Linked DNA regions of Coturnix japonica. The protein of the gene in region 2 purifies or fractionates together with the protein of the main gene of each other region. This does not show direct contact. Links are inferred from orthologs where the notes say so. Each region holds a gene or a part of one and is shown on either strand. Other genes may lie near its edges.

Evidence for each region. The genes of interacting proteins can lie anywhere in the genome.
Region 1: the proteins of CASK (region 2) and SNTB2 purify together in Homo sapiens (affinity purification with mass spectrometry; 3 studies listed by BioGRID and IntAct, with this or other methods). This does not show direct contact. The link is inferred for Coturnix japonica from reciprocal best matches to the Homo sapiens genes CASK and SNTB2.

The regions. Positions count from the first base shown.
Region 1 is NC_029526.1:16,871,633-16,877,143, reverse strand, and holds the start of SNTB2 (beta-2-syntrophin), read right to left. Parts: upstream 3,654-5,511; 5' UTR 3,633-3,653; coding exon 3,026-3,632; intron 1,187-3,025; exon of another isoform or gene 1,181-1,186; intron 681-1,180; coding exon 470-680; intron 350-469; coding exon 148-349; intron 43-147; coding exon 1-42. Other genes in the region: UTP4 (U3 small nucleolar RNA-associated protein 4 homolog), read right to left, coding at 3,711-3,827, 4,010-4,120, 4,290-4,475, 4,572-4,667, 4,778-4,884, 5,006-5,165, 5,267-5,389, 5,503-5,511. UniProt on the Homo sapiens protein: Adapter protein that binds to and probably organizes the subcellular localization of a variety of membrane proteins. May link various receptors to the actin cytoskeleton and the dystrophin glycoprotein complex.
Region 2 is NC_029516.1:100,753,529-100,758,939, reverse strand, and holds the start of CASK (peripheral plasma membrane protein CASK), read right to left. Parts: upstream 3,190-5,411; 5' UTR 2,656-3,189; coding exon 2,597-2,655; intron 2,470-2,596; exon of another isoform or gene 2,321-2,469; intron 1-2,320. UniProt on the Homo sapiens protein: Multidomain scaffolding Mg(2+)-independent protein kinase that catalyzes the phosphotransfer from ATP to proteins such as NRXN1, and plays a role in synaptic transmembrane protein anchoring and ion channel trafficking.

The DNA of each region.
Region 1 (5,511 bases), on a different chromosome or scaffold from region 2:
CAGCACCGGCCGCCACTGCTGCCGCCCACCATCCAGCCGTGCCTGGATGAGGAGCTCAGTGACAGGGCAGCTCCAGCCGCCACCTCCCCAGCATCACGGTGCCACCCAGGGATGGCATCCCCCAATACACAGAGCACAGACCCGTACCTGCTCTGCCAGCCACGCGACGTGCTTCACCTCCCGGCCCCCGGCTGTGCCACCCAGTGCGGCGTTGAGCTCCGCCAGCACCTGCGGCAGCAGCGCCGTGATGTTGGCATGCAGTGCTGTGAACCAGGAGTGTGCGGTGGCCGTGTCCTTGCAGCGCAGGATCAGCGTGTTCCTGCTGTCTGGCGAGTGCAGCTCGATCAGCCTGTGGGGATACGGGGCGCTGGGACGGGGCCAGCCCGGCTGCAGGCGTGCTGCCAGCAATGGGGCCGGGATGGGGGCACAGAGACACGTGCCAAGCGCTTCCCGAACGCCGCCTGCTCACCGGTTCTCCAGGTCGGGCATGCTGAGGTTCCTTGCAGCAAAGCACATCTTCAGCGGGATGACCTTGCGGTCACGGGCGCCGTGGTGCTGGGGCGATCCCGAGTCCTCGCTGCCGCTCAGGCTGGGTGACTGCGGGGCAGCCCCTTCCCAGGGCAGGTCCGACACCAGCGACGGCTTCTTCATGTAGGGCGTCACCTCCCGCATGAACTTCACTGCGGACACAGGGGGTCGCTGTTAGGGTGGGGGGAAGAGGGGCCACGCGGGGTCACACCAGTGCCGACCCCTGCCGGGAACCAAAGGCCCACGGGGCCCACCCCGCTGCCATCGGGATGCGGGGATCGGAAGGGCTCGGCGGTGCGGCACAATGGTGCGGGCGGGAGGTCAGCCTGCAGCCCATCCTGCCCATCCTGCCCACCCAGCCGCACGCTGCGGCCAAGTTTCCAGCGCCGCAGGCGATCACGGCCCCGGGATGGTGCCTGCAGCCAGCACGTCCCGGCCCCGCGCTCCTCTCCGGGCTGGGAGGAAGGAAGGACGCATCACTCCGGGTCCCCGCGGACCATCCCTCCCCAAACACATGGTAGGCGCCAGGAAACCAAAATCCTTCACTCGCCGAGTGCCGTCCCGTCACCGCGCCGCTCCCCGCTGTCACGTTCAGGGACAGCCAACACAATGCGTTCCAGATGCTGGGAGCGCTGCGTGCCAGAGCACAGAGCGGGGGGTGACGCCGAGCAGCGGGCGGCCCAGCCAGAGAGCGGAGCCCCCTCAGCAGGGAGGGAACGGCCGCAGGGCAGCAGGGAATTAAAGCGAAAAAAAGCAGCGAGTAAGCGGTAATCTGCTGTGAAACAGCTGTGAAGCGCAGCTCCCCGCACGCAGGAGACGGTGAGAGGCCGTGGTGGGAGCTCCGCGGGGCGCCCGGTGCTGCTGAGCCGGCACACAGCTGGACGGGATGCGCTGCCCTTGCTGCGGGCACCAGGAGATAATATTAGCTCCCGCCGCGCTTATCCCCGGATTACTCCTTCCCCACGCACCTCTAATCCCCACGGGCAGGGCAGCGCCTGGGATGGATGGTTGTGGACGGGGGCTCCGCCGGCGGCAGCCCCTGAGGCGGCTCACAGCTGGCAGCCAGATGTTGGCAGCCTGCAGCTGGGGCTGGGGATGGAGAGCAGAGCGCTGGGGCTGCTGCTCCCTGCCCAGGAGTGAGCGCTGAGCCCTTTGTGCTCTGAGCCGTGCTGCTGGCAACCGGCAGCACAGGCAACCACATCCCTGAAACTCCCTGGGCAGGATTCTGAGCCCGAAGCGGGAGCTGCTGGATGAATCCTTCATGCCCACCTCCCATGGCTTGCACAGGGCACCCTGCAGTCCTTGGGGAACCCATACAGCACCAGATGTGCAACCAAAACGTTCCAAATGCTTGGGTGGGTGGTGCTGGTGCAGTCAACCTGGTGGTTTTCCTGCCCTTGCTGTGGCCAAGACAGTACAGACACTGCTGGGCTGTACAACCGTGGCCACTGCAGGAAACGTATCCCAGCACCGAACCACAGGCAGCAGCAGAGGCAGAACAGCTGGGAGATGCTGCTGGGGGCAGTGCTCCAGGCAGGGCATGGAGCTGCCGTACCGGTGTGGTGCAGCACAGGGGGCAGCGGCACATGCAGCTTCACCAGCTGAGCTGTGTCCCAGCACGGCTGTCATGGCACAGCACGCCTACACGCTCACCACAAAGGAAACCCAGCACTGCTGCACCCTCACAGCTCTCTGCAGGAAGGCCGCTGCACCCTGGGCTCACCCACAGGGCTCTCAGCAGAGCCCAGACCCCCATTCGCAGCCCAACATTACCAGCCCCCTCCCAAAAGCACCGGAGTGGTTTCCCCACCCATACGTGTGGGTTTCCTCTCACAGACCTCCTTCCTCTTTCCAAACTCCCTGCCCAGCACCGAGGTCCCTGTGGGCCCAGAGCTCAGCTCCCAGCTCCCACCCAGGACAGGGCAGGGCTCTGCTCCGCTGTGCTGATGGCGGCCAGCACAGCTGCCTGCAAGTGAAGCCCAGGGCTGGAGAGCAGGGACAGGGCTCAGCGTCAGCACTCCTGGCTGGCCGGGGACCCAACCCACATCCACGGGGCGATGCTGTCTGCCTCTGCGCGCTCTTCCCAGCCCCAAACTCGGCTCATCTCCTCCTCGTCCCCCGGTGCCCCGGACCCAGCGGGGGCAGCTGAGCCACACAAATCCGCACCCGCCCTCGCACCGGCACGCGGCCCCGGTGGACATCAGGACGGGACGCGGGGGTGGCAGCGCGCTGACACCGGTGGCACCGGCAGCGCCGCACCGGCAGGTCCCGCCCCAGGTTGCCGGGAACAGGTCGGGCAGGAGCCGGAGCTCGGCGGGCACCGAGTCCCGTGCGGAGCATCAGGGCGGGCACCGCGGGGAGCAGCGCCGGGCCCGGGGCACCGCTGCCAGCCCCGGGAGCACGGCAACAGGGAGCGGGCTCCGACACGGCCGGGTTGAGGGCAGCCCGGGGCGGGGAGCGGGACGGGGGTTGGGGGGGTGGGACGCGGGGCCGGTACCTTCCAGGATCACCTCCCTCCCGGCGCGTTTCAGCGCCTCCGCCGCCTGGTCGTGGGTGGCATCCCGCAGGTCGGTGCCGTTGACGGCCAGGATGGCATCGCCCAGCCTCAGCGCGCCGCTCCGCTCCGCCGCCAGCCCCGGGAAGATGCGGGAGATGAGCACGGGCATGCGGTTCTCGCGGCCGCCCTTGATGCTGATGCCGAGCCCGCCCGCCTCCGCCTTCACCACCCGCACCCTCCGCACGCAGCCGGGCACGGCCGCCTCCGCGCCGCCCCACTCTCCGCCGCCGTTGGCGACGCCGTTGAGCCCCGGGCCGGGTTCCCCGGGCTCGGCCGTGAGACTCAGCGCGTCCCCGCTCAGCTCGGCCGCCACCCGCACCCAGCGCTCCCGCAGCAGCAGCTCCAGCAGCCCCGCCTTGCACGCGCGCGTCCACACGGCCATGCCGACACCGCCGCGCCGCGCCGCCCCGACACGGGCCCCACCGCCAGGACACGCCCCCCGCCCGCATGGCGGGACGCCATTGGCTGCGCGCGGCGCGAGGGGCGGGGCGGGGGCGGCTTCCCGCGTTCCGATTGGACGGAGGGGGAGGCGGTGGCGGGACTCCATGGCGCGGGCGGGGGACGCGGGGCGGAGCTGAGCGCTGACGGTAAGGACGAGAACAGCGCGTTTATTGATGGAGCGGGGCTAAGTGCCGAACTTCTGCTGCTGCACCGGCGGGGGAAGCTCCGGGCAAATGTCCACGGCGGGACGCTCCACCGTCACCAGGCAGCGCTCGTCCAGGAGGTCCGCGAACAGCAGCGGCTGCGGGAACAACGGGTGAACACAACCGGGTGAGCACAACAGTGTGAGCACAACTGGGTGAGCACAACCAACGGGGTGAGCACAACCAACGGGGTGAGCACCGGGAACACGGGGAGCCCGGCCCGGGGCGGTGCTCAGGGCGCCCCCAAGGATGAGCTGCACACATTGGCACAGCTGCCCACCTGGAACTTCTTGCAGATCTTGAAGGCGTGGAGCTGCCGGCGCCGGGCGGGCTCTGAGAGCTGCTTCAGGGTGCTCTGGTTGGACAGCATGGTCTTGTTGTCGGGCAGGGGCTGCGGGCACAGCTGCTGTCAGTGCTGCTGTCAGTGCTGCTGTCAGTGCTGCAGCTCTGCACTAAGCCCCGCACACCCCCTGCAGTGCTGCACACCCCCTGCCCTTCCCTTTGTGCCCACACGAGCAGCCCCTGCAGAGCACGCTCCAGTGGGGCCCTTCTCGGCTCACCAGGGATTTATCGAGGACACACAGCATGTAGACGTCGTGCAGCAGGACCTGCGACGCGTTCTTGGGGTTGAAGGCGATGTGGATGATGGGGGAGTCCCTCTCCAGCCACAGCCTGTGCAGCCCGCTGTTCTGCACCGCGCGGCTCCAGGCCGTGTATTGCTTCTCGGGGATGCTGAACTCAAAAAGCTGCGGAGGAAAAAAAGATGGGTCCCCATCATCAGCCCAATGGCAGCACACAGCCGGTCCCAAGCAGCACAGGGCTGCTGAGGGCACAGCTCCCACCTGCTGGTCCGAATAGGAGATAAAAAGGTTGTTGGTGGTTGGGTGGATGGCGAGGGCTGTCACTGCGCAGCTGTAGGTGGGCACTGTGCAGTGGTGCTGAAAGGCAGAAGGACAACGCTGCCCCACGTGCCCTCTGACACCCACCAGGTCCTCCCCCAGTGCCCATGGGACACCACGGGGGGCCCCACACAGAGCCCTGCCTGTACCTTGAAGTGTTTCAGGCTGTAGATGTGCACCTCCCAGTCCCCGCTGACCGCTGCCAGCCAGTTCCCATCAGCGCTCGATGCCAGCAGGTAGACAGCTTCCCGGGTCCCTGAACAACACCACACACAAATGCTACACAGACACAAGAAACTCTTCAACCACTCCAAAGTGTCCCAGACCGAGGGCAGCAGCCTCAGCCATGTGCCCACAGGGGCCCCAGGGCTCCCCACCTGCAGGCGGGCGCAGCGTGTGCAGGTGTTTGCAGCCCCCCGGTTCCAGCAGCTGCAGCACATGGACAGAGCCTCTGTCGGAGGCGATGAAGAGCCTTCCTGAGTCGGAAGCACACTGCAGCTGGTAGGCTGGGAGCAGCAGCTTGGGCACACCAGGGACCTTGCAGGGGGAGAAGGCAACACCGGCGGTCACGCTGCTGCTGACCCACACACTGTGCCACTAACAGCCCCCAGCTCCCTGTGAGCCTCCCCAGCCTCCACCTTCTTGACGCTGACGCTGTCGCCCTCATGCTGCACGTGGTAGAGGTGGAAGCGAGAGGCAGTGCTGTAGGCAATCCAGCTGCCGCAGGGTGAGACGCAGCTGCAGTAGATGTGCTCGGGACCCTGGGGATGTAGAGGTGCTGAATGGGGTCTGCAGAACCTCCTGGCACCTGCAGTTTGGCCATCAGAGGAAGCAGAGGTGCCAAGCACAAGTGCCAGCCCCAGTTCAGCCTTACCTTGCTCTT
Region 2 (5,411 bases):
CAAATGAAAATTGCCCTTAATTTTTTTTTTTCCTAAAGGAAACATGGATTAGAAATTCTCTCAATCCCTCCTGGCTTTTCTTTTATCCTCTATCTATTCAGAATGAAAAATGCATGCTTGCAGAACTTAAACACATTAAATGCCACGTAAGAAACGATTCATCACTCTGTCATCCCGATCAATTCTTTCACATACTATTACAGTTACTGCTCCACACTCCGGCAAAAAGCTATTATCATTGTGTTTATACAAAATAAGTCTTATCAGTTTATCGCATTTGAAACTGTTTTAAGTTTATTCAAAAGCTTCAACAAACAGGGCCACATACTGCCAGCAAGGGAACACCCATAGAGGACTTATTTCTCAAGTAGACTGTATGGGAACTTTGAGATTTCTCTTACAAAGTCAGGCAAAATATTCAGTTGTTTTACGGTCCAAAATCTCTTTCCCACACCCTTTCTGGAAATACCATTTACTACTTTAAATGACAGCGATAACTACCCATTTAGGAAGGATAAATCACACGCTTTAATATTTCATGGACCTAAACACAAGTCAGGGGCCGGATGTGCTATTTGCAAGAAGCAGATTACTCAATCAATCAATAATAAATCACGGGAAGGTGCAGACGTTTAGTTGGTGTTTCACTGATAGATGTTTAGCCAGATGCATACGTAGCAACTCAAGGCAGATTTTACATGAGGCTTTCCCCATGTTGCCTAAAGAAGAGCGGGGTGCTATCAAAAATGTGAAAGCTAATTAAAGACGCTGCATCCCCGATTGCTCAGAAGTCACCTGAGTAGCACTGCAATGAAACAGGAACACTGCTCATACAACTGTACAAATACAACTGTGCCTATTAGAGGAGGGACACAACATCCATACGCAAACCCCTTCCTACCACCACTGCTAGCTTCAGTAATCCACCCTGTTCTGTTACAGTGCTCTTGGCAGCGCCGTGCTCCTACAATCCAACACTTATCTGTTAGATCAGGTTACATCACAACACATCCAGAATAATTCAATCTCAGGTATCAGCCAAAGAAGCTTCACAATTCACAGGTTCTGAACCTTGAATCCCTTTGATATTCTCAGATCACAACATCGAAAGTCAGTGGAGCCGCATCAACATCTGGATGGCTGCGAATGAGCCATTCTCTATAAGCTCACATAGTCCTGTCAAGCAGAAGCACTTCACTTTCCTTCCAATGGCAGCCAGCTCTGAGGAAGCAGTGCGTGAACTGCAGTGGTCAGCTTAAAACCACTCATGAAAGGAGCATGCCAAAAACCATCTTCAAACCACATATAATCACTGTTTTGTTTCTCGGCTACATAAGCTCCCCACGAACAACTGGCGAAAGCCCTTTCAGCTTATGACAGCAAGCAAGGCCCTCTAAGCTTCCTATTTTTAAAAGTTGTTTGTGGCCAGGGCAAGGTGGTAATAACCGTGTGAAACGACAGAGCAGAGTGCTGAAACTTCAGCTGCCAACAAAGTAACCTGCTAAGTCCAAGACGAGCATTTTAGTATAATCCTCAGGAAAGATTAATTCCAGAATATTTTTAGCCTGAGCTCTCAAAGCAGGCAGCAGCAGATAGAAACTGTGAAGCACGCTGGAGGGGAGCGGGAGGGAGAATACATGCAGAAGAACTCTTTGTTTATAATCAAAACACGGGGAATGCCGCTCTGATTGAATTCATCCTCAGGAAGAAAGAGCTGCAGGCACCCAGAGCAGCGGCTCCCACAGCAATCTCAGCTGCTCAGTCAGACACGCAGACAATTAGAAGCAGCAACACCGCTACATCTTTCACTCAACCCAAGCACAACTATAGGAGGCGTGTGGAACGCAACGAAATAAAACAAAAATAGGATTTAGAAACTGGCTGGTCACGAAAATACAGAGAGTTGGGCTCCCGTTCGGTGCCATCTGATTTGGGGGATGCTCTGCGTTTTCTTGGTGTGGTAACGCACGGAGCTGTCATCTCCACGCAGCCCACAGGAGCGTGGCCCAAAACGGGCAGCCAGAAAACGCCGGCGACCTCCGAGGTTTGACACGAACACGCATTAACAGTTGCATAAGGAGACAGGAGAGGCCAAGTTCTCCCCCTGCCTCACACGCCGCCGGGGAGCGGAGCGAAGGCAGATCCGCGCGAGCACGGGGTGCCAGGGGCACCGCCGGCAGCACGCCGCTCATTGTGCGCCAAGGCGCGGGGAGAGCCGACACCTGGCGCGGCCACCCGAGCGATAGGTGGATCCACAGCGATCCTTCTTCAAGCAGGCAACCACCGATGGGTGTGCCGGGGATGGGGAGGAGAACGGGAGGGCTGGGCAGCGCCAGGCTGCGCGGCGGCCGGCCGGGCGGGGATCATGGTGGCTGAGGAAGCACCGGGGCGCCTTCCTTTCCCCCCACCCCCCTTCCCCCCAACCTCAGGGCGGTGGGCAGCGCCGGGGCTGCCCGCACCGCGACTCAGGTGGGTGCCGGGCACGCCATCCCCGCGCTGGGTGTGTGTGTGTGTGGGGGGGGGGGGCTCCGCTCTCCCCCATCCCCTCTCCTTTTTCTTTCTTTCTCCCCCCCCTCCCCCTCCCCGCGGGACTCACTTGCCGATCACCTCGCACAGCTCGTACACGTCCTCGAACAGCACGTCGTCGTCGGCCATGGTCCGCCCGTCAGGCGGCGGCCCCGGGTGCGGGGGGAGGAGGAGGAGGAGGAGGAGGAGGAGGAGAAGGAAGCGGGGGGGGCCGCGGGCACACGCTCCCCGCCGCGCGGCGCGCTCCCCCGCCGCTCAGCGCCAACAGCCGCAACCTTCGGCCGCAGGGGCTCTCAGCTCCTCGGGCCGCCGCGCGTGTCACGCACCCCGCGACCCCACCTTCCTCCTCTTCCTCCCCCCACCCTCCTCCCTCCCCCGGTTACTCCCCGGCGGCAGCGGCGGGCGGGCGGCTGTGGCTCAGCGGGGCGGCGCGAGCTCCATGGAGGGGATAGGCGGCGGTGGCGGGCGGCAGCGCCGGCTCGATCCCTCCCTCGCCGAGCGGGCGCGCTCCCGAGGCACCGGGGAGGAGATGGAGGGGGGGGGAGGGTGGCTACGGGAGCGCGCACCGTGCGGGAGGATAATAGTAGGAGGGGGAGGGGCGGGGAGGCGGCCGTCGGTTCCGCTCCCAGCCGCGAGGAGAAGAGGCGGCGGCGGCCGCGATAGGCGCTGGCAGCGCGGGGAGGGAGGGAGGGAAGGAGGGACGGAGGGACGGAGAGAGGGCGGGGGCGCGCGCGCGCTCCCCGCCGCCGTCACGCAAAGGCACGCACAGGGGTCGGTCGGCGCGGCGTGCGCAGGCGCGCACTGCCATGACGTCATGGCGCCGGGAGGGGGCTCCGCGGGGCGGCTGTCAGTGAGCGCGGTGGGGAGGGTTGAGCCGGCTGTAGGTGTGGGGAGGGGTGCTCCTCAGTCGGCTGCACCCTGCAGCCCTGCCTGCCCTAACAGCTCCTCTGCCCGAGCTCTGCGCCTTTGTCCGGGGACGGGTAGAGCGGATTTTGTCCTAGCTTTGAGGGGCTGTTGGCGTTTGGGGCTGTTTGGGGGTTGGAACTACATGAGGTCCCTTCCAACCCGGGTCATTCTGTGATTCTGTTTTCCTGAGCTCTGAGTTAGAAGCCTTGCAGAAGAGCGTTGTGTTCAGGTGTAGGGAGCCTGCTTTGGCAGCGGGGTTGGACTCGATGATCTCTAGAGGTTCCTTCCAACCCCTACGATTCTGTGATTCTGTGCCTGAATTAGTTGGGAGCTGTTGCAGTTTCCAAAGCGTGTAGGTTTCTGCAAAGGTCGTGTCTCCTATTTGTCTGCATGGAAACCACTACAGATAGAAGGAGCACAATGGCACTACTTGTTACTAGAGTAAATTCTCAGCTATGAAACACTGTTTTTTCAATGCTCAGCACCACTAGCTATGCATTTTCTACAGCCATGAACATGAGCCTGCATGTCATGCTCCTAACAATCCACACCAGCAGAGGTGACCCACTGCCACTGTCACCACTGCTGAAAGGCACCACCCACCGCCCCACTGTGCTCACATCCACTGCTTGGTCTCCATCAACATTCAGCATCAATGAATGTCAGTGGGTGCCATTTTTTTTCAGCCTGGAAGAATTCAGTGACACACCTTTGTATGCGCTTCCACATCAGATGCCACTGTGTCACAGTGCCCCTCTGCTGCCATCTGTCATATGGCTACAAAACGGAGCAGAATTTCAGTGGGAAGGTTTGACATCTTCTGCCATACCACCAACATCTGCTTCTGATGTTTTGGGCCAACATAATCAAGTAGGAGGCATTACTTTCGGAGCAGCCCTCATTTCTGCTGTACTAGTTTCGCACACATGCAGCTTCTTAAAACTCATTTACACAAAGGTAAGCGGCACGGTTGTTCCTTGCACACAGGGGAAAAGAAAAAAAGAAGAAAAAGAGACTATCAAAGCAGAATTGTCAAAAATAATTAAACCTATAATCTGCATGGTGGTAAGGTGTAAGGTGAGAGATGTTCCTATGAGGTTACGCTCTGTGCCATACAAACCTTTAAAAACGTTAAAACAGCATCAGTTTGGAATGCTGATAAAAAGCCAACACGGTTAGACTGTCTGTTCCCTCGGTGTGCTCAGCGCAGAGCAGAGGAGCTGATGGAGGCCTGATGGCGGCTGCAGCTCCTCACAGGGAGCGGAGGGGCAGCGCTGAGCTCTGCTCTGTGTGACAGCGACAGGGCCCGAGGGAACGGCATGGAGCTGTGCCAGGGGAGGGGCAGCTGGGGGTCAGGGAAAGGGGCTGCACCACAGGGCGGTGGGCATGGAACGGGATGCACAGGGCTGTGGGCACGGCCCCAAGTGCCGGAGTTCAGAGAGCATCTGGACAGTGCACTCAGACATAGGGTCTGAAGGAAGACCCTTGAATTTTGGCTGGTCCTGTGTGGAGTTTGGAGTTGGATTTGATGATCCTTATGGTTTCTTTCCAGCACAGGATATTCTATGGTTCTGGAATTCTGTAAATTTCACATATGGTAACATAAGCAGCCATTTTTTTCCTTTTGTGAGATGAGCAGGCTGAGTACCGCTCAGGCCTTTCAGTAATGTTTCCAAATGTGAAGATGGTGTTTCCATTCACCTATGAATTGTCATCTGATAATACACAGATTCATCATTAGAAGTCAACAGGAAAATCTGATATAAAAACACACAAAGAAGTAAAACGTCCGTACCAGATCCATTCAATCACTGAGGCAAATGCTTTTCCTGCTCTAGCAGTATCGCTTCACAGGTGTCTCACCTCCCTTTGAATGCCAAGTGCTGGGCATCAAACATGGATGTGACAAATGAAACCACAACCAAGGAATACAAAGCATAATACATGGAGAGCTTTGCACTGAAATATTCTTATCAAAC